3 linked regions of the Drosophila melanogaster genome follow. The protein of the gene in region 2 purifies or fractionates together with the protein of the main gene of each other region. This does not show direct contact. Each region holds a gene or a part of one and is shown on either strand. Other genes may lie near its edges.

Evidence for each region.
Region 1: the proteins of gNacalpha (region 2) and Txl purify together in Drosophila melanogaster (affinity purification with mass spectrometry, with the first as the bait; one large-scale study listed by BioGRID). This does not show direct contact.
Region 3: the proteins of gNacalpha (region 2) and CG9922 purify together in Drosophila melanogaster (affinity purification with mass spectrometry, with the first as the bait; one large-scale study listed by BioGRID). This does not show direct contact.

The regions. Positions count from the first base shown.
Region 1 is NT_037436.4:5,764,163-5,767,584, forward strand, and holds Txl (Thioredoxin-like), read left to right. Parts: upstream 1-1,683; 5' UTR 1,684-1,847; coding exon 1,848-2,213; intron 2,214-2,270; coding exon 2,271-2,554; intron 2,555-2,613; coding exon 2,614-2,827; 3' UTR 2,828-2,922; downstream 2,923-3,422. Other genes in the region: CG10576 (uncharacterized protein), read right to left, coding at 272-434, 497-633, 925-1,022, 1,179-1,266; Ppat-Dpck (bifunctional phosphopantetheine adenylyltransferase - Dephospho-CoA kinase), read right to left, coding at 2,974-3,422.
Region 2 is NT_033779.5:1,035,378-1,039,133, reverse strand, and holds gNacalpha (germinal nascent polypeptide-associated complex alpha subunit), read right to left. Parts: upstream 1,889-3,756; 5' UTR 1,756-1,888; coding exon 712-1,755; 3' UTR 628-711; exon of another isoform or gene 601-627; intron 556-600; 3' UTR 449-555; downstream 1-448.
Region 3 is NT_033777.3:14,034,721-14,038,476, forward strand, and holds CG9922 (uncharacterized protein), read right to left. Parts: upstream 1,679-3,756; 5' UTR 1,210-1,678; coding exon 1,104-1,209; intron 963-1,103; coding exon 901-962; intron 832-900; coding exon 724-831; intron 559-723; coding exon 460-558; 3' UTR 298-459; downstream 1-297.

The sequences.
Region 1 (3,422 bases), on a different chromosome or scaffold from region 2:
AGTTCACGAAATTGACACAGTTTCTATCCGCAGGTGTTGAGCTGATCTGTGTCAGAGTTTGAGCGCAGTCAATCCGTTGCCTGCAGAAGAAATAACCTTGTGGACAACTGACAAGAAGCCTCCAGTCCTGAATAATAGGCCAGGGCAATTACCAGCTGCCACAGCTGATCTTTGCAAGTGTTGAGATGTTCAGTCGCTGGAGAATCGCGGCAGACAATCCGTTTCTTGCAGGGATTAACGGAGGATTACCTAGAAGTAAGGGAGGACTCACATTGGCGCCGGACTTGAGCAGACGTAAGGCAGCCTGGACAGCCCAGTAGGCGGCGAGGATGACATCGGCCTGGCGACCACTGATCTTCTGATCCGCAGCAGCGCCTACCACAATTGTGTGAGCGGCCACGGCAATGAAACCATCAATGTGGGCACCCAGATCGCTGTAGAAAAGAAATGTTACGTATTTAGTGGCGGTATATGTGGAATAGGAGGTTCAACTTACATTTTGACCACATCACCGGCCTTTAACGTGTAGTCAGCATCGTTTTTGGCTGGCGAGAAGTGGCAGACACAGTTGTTGACGGACAGACAGGTGGGAAAGGCAATGCCCTTCTTCAGGTCTTTCTCCTTTTTGTATACCTGTTTGTGAAAGATCGATAAAAGCATTAGATTGCTTGTTCGTTGTACTATATATCAATGATAGTGCGCGGTGTGTCCTCAGATCTCATAATCTGTAAATCCTCGGGACCTTTTGGAGAGCACACAAGCCGGGCACGTGGAGCATTGGAGTCCCCGCGTGCGCCTGGCGACCACGAGGTGATCCCCAGCCCGCACAGCACATGGCTCGCCATCGGGAAACCCTCAAAGGTGTAAGTCTTAATCATTGGACATGAAATTGGCGCGAATGACCGCCAGGTGGCCACCACTTACTTTGCCGGTCTCCTCGGTGAGCTGATTGTCGCCCTGGGTGCAGATCTCCCGGACGGAGGCATCAACCACGCAGAGTCCAATTACCGCCTTGAGGGTTTCTAAAATTAAACGAGCAGACAGAGTCCAGAAATAGGCAGATTAACCAACGCGTGGCGCACAAGGGAAAGCGGCATTCGGTGCATTGTGTAAGCGCCACGTAGCAGCGACTCCAGGAATCGGCCAGCGTTCGCTGTTTCCGGCCAAGGAATACTCACTGTTGACGATTTCGCCGGCCAACTTATACTTGGTCACCACCAAATCCTCGGCGATGGTCTTCTCGGGCTCCTTTTCCACATCTGCCATTGTACTTGACTCTAATAATTTTAAAATGGCGACTTAATGAAAATGCGACCGACTGAAACACCACGAGGTAATGAACGTGTGGCCAGGCGCAGCGCAGGTATCGAAAGTTCCAGTGGCGTGTATGGTGGGACCGCTCATTCGCCTTGACAACCCTGGCAAATGGGCGGTAAGCTTAAGATGAGCGTGAAAGCGTAGATTGCTAGTCGTAAACACTGAATGAATTTTAAATAACACTTTGAGCTATATCAAATGAGAATATTTCATAGTTTTACATATTGTAATCCACTAATATTTCAATAAAAGTTTAAATATTAAGTTTCGGTTTTTTTCTATTACACATAAATGGTCCCTCTAAAAATAGGAAGTCAAAGAGCTCGAAATATCGATACCATCACAGTGTGACCGCTTGTGGAATACCGCATTCGGTATTTTTCTTAGCACGAATTTGGACTAAATGCATATTACAAGTCATCTTTAACAAAAAAAATTTGCATTGAACGTTAATAATAACATTTACTTGCTTAAATCCAATTCGGCTGCCGAAACAAAAGCTCAATTAATAGAAACCTAATCCTATCACCATGTCCGTGCGCGTGATCAACGACGAGTCCCACTTCCAGGCGGAGTTGGCCCAAGCGGGCATTCAATTGGTTGTGGTGGACTTCACAGCTTCGTGGTGTGGTCCCTGCAAGCGGATTGCGCCCATCTTCGAGACGTTTCCAACAAAGTACCCAAAGGCCATCTTCCTGAAAGTGGATGTGGACAAGTGCCAGGACACGGCTGCTGGACAGGGCGTTTCGGCCATGCCAACATTCATCTTCTACAGGAACAGGACCAAGATCGATCGCGTCCAGGGTGCGGACGTCAATGGGCTCGAGGCCAAGATCCAGGAGCACATCGGTACATCCGGTGGCGAGGAGGGGGGCGAGGATTACGGGCAGGGATTGGTAATATAGTGCAGTATTTGGAAATGTTCCAAAAATAATCCCTAATCCTTCTTACAGATGGAACTGAATACATTTATTTCGAAGCAGGAGTGCGAGTGCCTCAACGAAGCTGATGACCACAACTTAAAGCACGCCCTGGCCTCCGCCGGTGGCTACCTGCAGTCCGATTGCGATGAGCAGCTCATCCTGTCCATCACCTTTAATCAGGCTGTGAAGATCCACTCTTTGAAGTTCAAGGCACCTTCGCACCTGGGTCCCAAGGATGTGAAGCTGTTCATTAACCAGCCCCGCACGATTGACTTTGACATGGCCGAGTCCATGAACAGTGTGCAGGATCTAAGGTAGCTATTGCCTTCTCTATGGCTGCTTAGCTCTTCTCACTGTTCAATCCATTTTGCAGCCTGGCTCAGAAGGAGCTGGAGAGTGGAGTGCCCGTGAATCTGCGCTACGTCAAGTTCCAGAATGTGCAAAACATCCAAATCTTCGTGAAGAACAATCAGTCAGGTGGCGATGTGACGCAGATTGATTATATCGGCTTCATCGGTTCCCCCATCATGACCACCAAGATGAACGACTTCAAGCGAGTGGCTGGCAAGAAGGGCGAGAGCCACTAAGGTTCCATTGAAATTTTCAGCGTTTTTCCCCAATGACGTCCCAGCATTTCTTTTCAACTTTGGACTTACAACTAAACAATATACAACAAATGCATAAAAAATCATACAAAATAAGGATCAACAAGATAATCTAAATATCCATCGGGTTAAAGGCTGCTCTGGTAAGAGTCCAGTTCCTTGGTAAGCATTTTCCACGCACGCTCCGCCTGTTTCTGGGTGAATTCGTGATCCCATTGCGAACTGAATATCACATGCGACTTGGCCACGATCTCAGAATTGGGCACCTGACTGGCCAGTCGCTTTTGGGCCTCCACTTCGCTCAACTTGTTGCGCTCAATAATCCGCCGCACAGCCTCATCCGGTGGCACAATCATGGACCACACCTCATGGCAATTGGTCTCCCAGCCCGCTCGCAGCAGCACCGCTGCCTCCAGGACCACCACACGCGGCACGTCCGCCTGGGAACGCAGTGCATCCAGCCGCCTGTTAACCTCCGCAATAAGTTCCGGCCAGACAATGCCGTTGAGTGCTTGCAACTGCTTGGGATCGGCAAACACCAAGGGTCCCAGCTTGGACCGATCGATGCGACCATCGT
Region 2 (3,756 bases):
CCTGGGAGTACCCCTGAAATCCCCTGAAAGAGCTGAAACGCAATCACGGCGTCGTCAAAAATTCGCCAGCAAAAAATGCAAAGTCGAGTGCCGGGGGACTTCGCCAAATGGCTAAAAACTAAGTGCAGAGTAAACAAGAGTGCAGCGTCAGCGGCACAAAGAAAGAAGCGATTAAGTTTCCGCCACAGAGAAAATGTCCAAGAATGACGGTACCTGAAAGGAAAATTGCCAAAGTCTAGCGCTGATGGAAGAGCAAATACGAGTATAATGAAAATGGTTCGGGTTCGCATATGCGTTCTTCGCCCTTCGGAAAATGCTTTCACTGTGCCAAGATGGAAATGGTGGAAATGTCAATTCATTAGAAAATTGAAATAAGATGGCAATTTCGCTGTACAAAGGGGTTCTTCAGTGGGATTCTTCTGCTGGGACCGAAAACATTTTCAAAAACCAGGAAATGATCGGCATTTAATATAGTACGAGCTACATTGGCACCGGAGATTGTCATTCTTGTAGAACAAGCCATCCACCAGGAGAAGTGAAGTCCGAAAGGATTGTCTGGATTACATGAAAGTATAGTAAATAAAAACAACATGAAAGTTTACGATTTGATTGTAATCATTTAATTACCATTAATTTCTATGGCGAACATGGATGTTATTGAAATTCTCTTTATTTCATGACTTTGAATACAAAGGAGCCACTCAGAGCGACTTAACCCACAGTCAGGGCCATGATGGCATTGACCACATCGTTGTCGTTCTTCAGCAGCGCCTGGATCGCCTTTTTGCGCGAGCACGCGGCCTGCATCTGTACCAGTTCGATGTCCTTCGCATGTAGGCCCATGGCATCCGCGTCCTCGCCATCGTTCTCGTCGTCGTCGTCGTCGTGTGGGGACTCCTCGCCAGGGGCTTTTCCATCCTCGTTACCTTGCCGCCCGGCAGGCGAGGTTCCACGGAATCGCTCGGCCGCCTTGACAGCTGCCTGGGAGGCGACGGACGTGGTGCTAGTGTCCTCCACGCAGATCTCCCCAAAGAAGATGTACGTCGACGAGTGCGCCACTCTGTAGACGTCCGGCTGATCGATGTACAAGAGGATGTTCTTGCCCTTCTTCATGGTCACTCGGGCCACGTTCTCCATGGGCTTCAGGTCCAGCTTCATGAGGATCCGGCGTGCCTTCCGCTCGCCGCGAGACTGCTTTGATACCTCACGTGTTCGCACGGCCACCGTACCGAGTTGACCCTGCTCGTCCGGTTGGGTCTCCTTGGGATCCGCTTCCACGAGATCCGGGGCGTCATCGGAGTCCGTGCTCTGATCATCCTCAACTACGCAGGATTTCGCGGCGGAGGCGCCCTCCTCCTTCTGCGAGTTCGGCAGACTGAACACATTGGGCGGCAGCTGTTTGGCCAGGCTCATCAGCTTCTTGATCTTGTTGCGGTAGGCCGGGTCCATTTGACCCATGATGTGGGGCTTCCCCTTTGCGCCACTAAAGCCTGCCGGAGGTTTATTCTTGACATCCAAGGCGTCTTCCGAACTGGAGATCTCCTTCTGAAGTGCCTTTGCGACGTTTGGTTTTTGCGTTGCCTTGGGCTTCCCTTTTTTTCCACTGCCACTTGGTGAGGGAGAGGCTTCTTCGGCAGGCTTTTCTTTGGCCACCACGTTGTCGGCAGCGGTCTTCGATTTCTCGGCAGCGGTCTTCAATTTCTCGGCAGCGGTCGCCATCTGGGCAGCCTTCTTCATTTTCTGCTTCTTACCCATCTTGAGGAATAAACAGCAACTGAGGGATTTGCGATCACAGATTTGCGAGGACAACTTCTCCAAAAAAATTTCCAAATTGGCAGCGCACGTGGTGTGACCTCTTGCGGGAAAGACTTGACAGGAAATATCAGAGGTGAAACTTCCAGTGGCTTGACAGCTGGTGTTGCTCTCTTCGATAAGTGCTGTTGCGAAATTTGGTATACTTATCGAAAAGTTTTTTCATAATGAAAACTGGAAATTTTTTATGCTAATGGCACCTAAATAGCGAAATAAACAATATCAAGTGTTGCTTTCGGAAAGATTATAAGTTTTTAAAATGGCCACTCGGCCATTCGAACATGCAGAGCACGCCTAAGTCTATCGATATCGATAGGTCCCAGTGCAATCGTGAACTGATTATAGGCGTTAGCAGCGCTGCTCTGAAGAAAGTTGGTATTTTTCAAACGAGAATGTCAGCTGCCTTCGAACTGTGCACTTAATTTCGCGGTTATAAAAGTTTTGCTGCAGCGCCTCGCAAATTCTATCGAAATTGATGATTGCAAATCAATCCACTGCAGTGACGTGCTTGAAAATTTTCACCTGACAAAGCCAGTTTAAAAGTGGTGGAGAAATGAAAAGTTCAGCGGTTATTTGGGTAATATTCGAATATGCAAAGTCGTAAAACTCGGATGCCCGGAAAATGCCAAAGACCTGAATCTGAAGCTGGTTCCTCCGTGTTAATTGCTGTCGTGGTCGCACCGCAGTCTGCCTCCAAAGCGGAGCAGCCCCACAAACACGACGCGGTGGAGCAAGCGCGGTTACACGTGCGGTTTTCCTTGCGGTTTTCCGGCTCCCGAATTTCCCAGATCAGGCGGTTCAGGGCGGGGCTGTGTGATCCTGTTTTGCGTTCTGCGTGTGGCGAAAAAACACTTGCTAAGTGCATTAAAAAAGTGCCACGCCCTATTAGGGCGCTCTTCGTGTTACGGAAATTACATCACAATTCGAGACAACCGTACAATAAGAATATGAGCACGTATGGATCAAATCCCCAATGGAGTTAACATAACATTTAGCATAATTTTCATGAATTCTGACCTTTCCTATTTCCTACATAACAGGTATGTGGTAATCGGGAGCATGTATTGCATTTTTTCTGCAAGCCGCTGCGCTCTGTCTGATGATGCGTTTTTAATTGCTCGGTTCTTTTAATTAAAGTTCGAGCGAAAGAAGGGCGTCCACCACCTGCAATTATTAAACTTTATCGTGGGGTCAACGCCTAATTGAGTTGCACAAATTATTCAGGAGAGGCGAATGAAGCAGCAGGAGGAGGACTAGGAGGATGTGGAGGGCAGGAGACCGAGGATGCATCCGGCTGCCGCCGCAGAGTCTGTCCTGTCACCATAATTAAATTCGAGAGGCCAACTAATCAGATATTCCCTTTGCCCAGCCATGAGTCCTCGCATCTTAACATCTCGGTCGATTCGATTCAATGTTGCTCGGTTAAGTTAAGTTCTGCGCGGACTTGGAACTCGGAGACCCGGAGAGCCGGAGAAGGGTGAAAAGTTTTTGGGCGTCCTGGCACGTTCGTCCCATGATTAATTATCCGCCCCATATGCTGCGGTGTCATCTGGGCCCATCCAACTTATTGGGGCTTAGTCTTAGCCTCGAAGTTTAGTTTCTGCTGCCACGGCCTGTGCATGAAAAATGAACCCAATTCGGAGGCCCACCAGGACGAGGTCTTCACTCTCCTTCAAGGCAACGAGGCCCACAGAAGCCGCTTTCTGGGGGCAAAAATCTGTAACGCATTAATCATGCAAGTTTCGAGAAATGATTGAAATCATATTACCATGTCGTAGACATGTTATAACCAAAGATGTTTCCGTAATTGAGATCTTGGCCAAGGCATTCATATTGTGCCTGCTCGAGAGTCTCCTCTTCCCGCTAATGAATTTCATTGCTGATTGATGCTTATTTGGCTTAATTCTATTGTTGTAAGTGAATCAGCAGTCTTTGCTAGGAAAA
Region 3 (3,756 bases), on a different chromosome or scaffold from region 2:
TTTCCCCAATAACGTTTGGTAGCATTTTCATTTCGTATAGAAAGCAATCGGGCAATATGTGAAAGCGAAGCAAACGCAACTGCCAAAAAGTCATATTTACACGATTTACGAATATAAGTGGGCGGCTGAGACGAAGGACTTTGCGTTTGTTTCATTTAGCAATCGGATACATAAATTATAAACATAAATTATACACGGATACGACGCATCATCACATTTTTCTTAAGGACACGGAACGCATGGGCAGTGGCGATATTCTGAATAAAATTGCAAGTTATTATAACTCCAAAATAAATTCGTTTAGACGATGTAAGCACTCTCACTCATTTGTGGGCTTAAAAGTCTTTTTGTTTTGTATTGTTTTCTTCGCTAGAGTTTATAAATGTACAAATAAAGCAGTGTGTTGTTACGCTACATAAAAGAAACAGACGGCGGATTGCTTCGGATTCCACGAGCACCTCAATTGCTGATGATGGCTTCCAAGGCGGCCACCACATCGCCGCTCTGCTCGCGGAGCACTTTCTCGGCATGCGCCTTGCTAACCAGCAGCTCGTTCATCTGAAAGGGCAGAGGGGAAGGAAACCATTACAAAAGGAAGATCGGAAGAAAGTTATCTATGGGAAACCAAAGGAGGAAATCTAAGGGAACTGGAGCTAATGCAATGAACTATATTTGTATCTCTACAATGAAAGGGAATACTTCCTTGTAGTTTCGCATACGTACAATCAGTTCAATGTCCTCCTTCTTGACTTGGACCTTCTGGAGCTCCTTCTCTTTGGCTACTCGCAGTTCGTTCTCCTTGTTACGCTGGTTGCCAAACTGCTCCACGGCCTGTAAATTATAAAAAAAAAGGATGTTGTTAATACAAATATTGCCTTGCTAATAAATATATGAACTTACGCTGGATATATTGTCCGCAGAGATCTCCTTTTCCTCGGCATAATCCGTCACACGTTCCAAATCTAAAAGCAAGATGAAGTTTTAGTATTAATACTCCATATTTATTAAGGATTGGTGCACAATACATGATATTTCATAGATGCCAGTCATTTTTTTGCAATTTTTCAGTGGAATGAGTTGCGGCATGTGAAATATTTATTTACCTGCGGCGCCGTCGTCATGTCGTTTCACATCGGATTTCTTTTGCTTTTTATCCTGCTCGTCATCCTCCACTTCTTCTCTGCCGTTGATTTCCGCTGCTTCCGTCATTTTCAATTGTTTTTTTTTATGTTTAATTCAATAAAAGTTCCGAAATTCTTTGCGATTTCTTCACCTCGTGCGATTAGAGATGGACTACTAGCGATAACACAATCGACATAATTTAACTAATAATCTATGAGTGTTTGCTTGGCTTTTATTGTAATAGTTTTTGAAGTTTTTTATGTAATTTCGAATTTGGAAATTGTGTATTTTCAATATGCACTTAGCGCTGTATTAAATTAATTGCATTTATGCTGCGTGTCAGCGTTGCCACCTGTCTGTTTTTGATCGAAAGCGACAGCCCTGTTTCAAAAGGCGCGCAGTTTGAAAAGTGTGCTTCAACAATTGTACACTTCCAACCAAAGAAACAGTAAAATCATCAAAACGCCAAGAAATAGTGTCATATTGTTAAACAATAAATTAAACGAAGTTGATTTTGACAAGAAAGGCGAGGAGAGGAGAGCAGTTAAAAGTTGACCCCACAAGTTTTAAGCAAAACATTGACACATCTTTCTTTAAATTTAAAGTCAATGCTAAAGTTTTTAACCGCAAAACTAATTAAAAATGTCTAGCACATGCAACGTAAGTAACTGCTTTTGGCGCTTTGCTCGTTTCTTTCGCACATTCCCAATTTTTTTGTGCTGCGGTCGAAATGTTAATTATAAGTTTGATGCTCCGGCTATAATTAGATTTTGAAGCAGTAGAGACATGCATACTTCTCTGCTCTGATGTGCGACATCCTTTTTTTAGTTCAGCTCCCCCGCCGCTCCTCTAGTCCACTGTGTGTGTGTGTCACTGTGTCCTGTGTGTCCTGTTGACATAATCGTTTGCCATCATGATTAATTTAATTGTCACTTTGACGTAAAGGACACTCACAGTTCCTCCTGCTTGCGTGCTTTTGCCCGGTTTGAAAATCAAGATTAATTAGCATCCATGACCATGGGCGGTCAACATCATTTGTTAGGGGGCGTGTGCGCAGATGGGGGGTTGGTTTGCACCAAAAAAAAAAAACGGGGGATCCACGGGGTGGCGACATATGTGCACTGCATTTAATTCGATTTTATTTCGGCAGCTCCGGATTTTTCATCGGAATTTCGCATGCGGAGCGCAAGTGATCGGAAAATGAATAAGAAATGTGAAATGTGGGAATTTTTGTGGTTTTAACTCAGTCACACAGATACCCTTTAAAAGTGGAAATATCTGTTGAGAAAGTGAAAAAGTCATTATATAAACAATTTGTAGTTCGCTTAATTAAGCTTAAATAAAAGTAATTTTCTAATCAATGACAATTTTATGACTAACAGTATTTGAAAAATAAATAATAATACTTATTTAATATATCAACTAATTTACCTTTTTCTTTTGAAGAGTACGCAAAAGGGTTAAATGCATTTTGTTTACCCGCGCAATCTCAGCTCAAACGAAGCATATGCGATTGGCAGCAACAGGCATTGCATTTGCATTTGCATTGTTAGCCCAGTTCTCATTTTCCATTTTTCCATTTTCCCCGATTTTTCACCACTCGCTTTCCCCATTTTTTTTCTCCCCGTTTTCCGTTTGCCAATTGGAAATTAAATTATGGTGCTAATTAGCGCAGCACATAAATTAAGTTGCCAATTTCGGTTGCCATTGTGGTTGGCAATGGCAAATTGAGCGTTGCATATCCACAGGGGCATCCTGTTCCTTTTACTGTGTGTTAGTGTGTGTGTGTGTGTGTGTGTGTGAGTGCTTGCGTGTGTGTGTTGGTGCTGGCACCCGAAAATTCACACAGTATCTTTTCTTTTTTTTTTTGCCATTTTTTCGGGGTTAAATTCGCTTGCGTGACGTAATTTAACTTGCATTGTCTTCGCGAAGGGCAAACATTTTGTTCGAATTTGTTGTTTTCCCTTCTGGTGGTTACTTTCTGCGTTTTACACTCGGTTTTATTGTTTCTTTTTTTCTTTTTGTTGCGGTTTCTGTTCTTTTTATGCCAACTTTTTAAGTGTGCAAAATAGATACAAAGATAGCACAGACGACAGGCCATAAATGAGTTATCAGGATTGTGTAATAATTTAAGGCGCTAGAAATGCAGATACATATATGTTTTAAAGGGATTTAGACACTTAAAAATATATGACATGTGTAGATACTTTAAAGAGTACAAGCTTTAATTTATTTGTTTTTTTTTCTGTTATATTTAGAACTTTCTGCTCTCTTGTCTTTCCGTGTTTTAATTACCAACACCCGAATGTAAATTTTGTTGATTATCAATTTGGAAATGCTCGTTGCCAATTTAATTCAAGAATTTGGCAATGAACATGTGTTCAATTTGCCACACCTCCATCAAAAATCAGCATTTCTGCTGGCTTCCTGCTTCATTTTGGGGCATTCCCTTCACGAACTGAATGCAGAATGCAATTGGCTGCACATACAGACGAGTTCACAATACTAGCAATGAAAATACAAAATTATAAACTTTTCTGAAAAATCAAACTGTATGATGGAGTAATAAAGATATTTGCTAGCTAACAAATATACATATATAAATTTTTTCAAATTCATATTTATTTAAGTTAA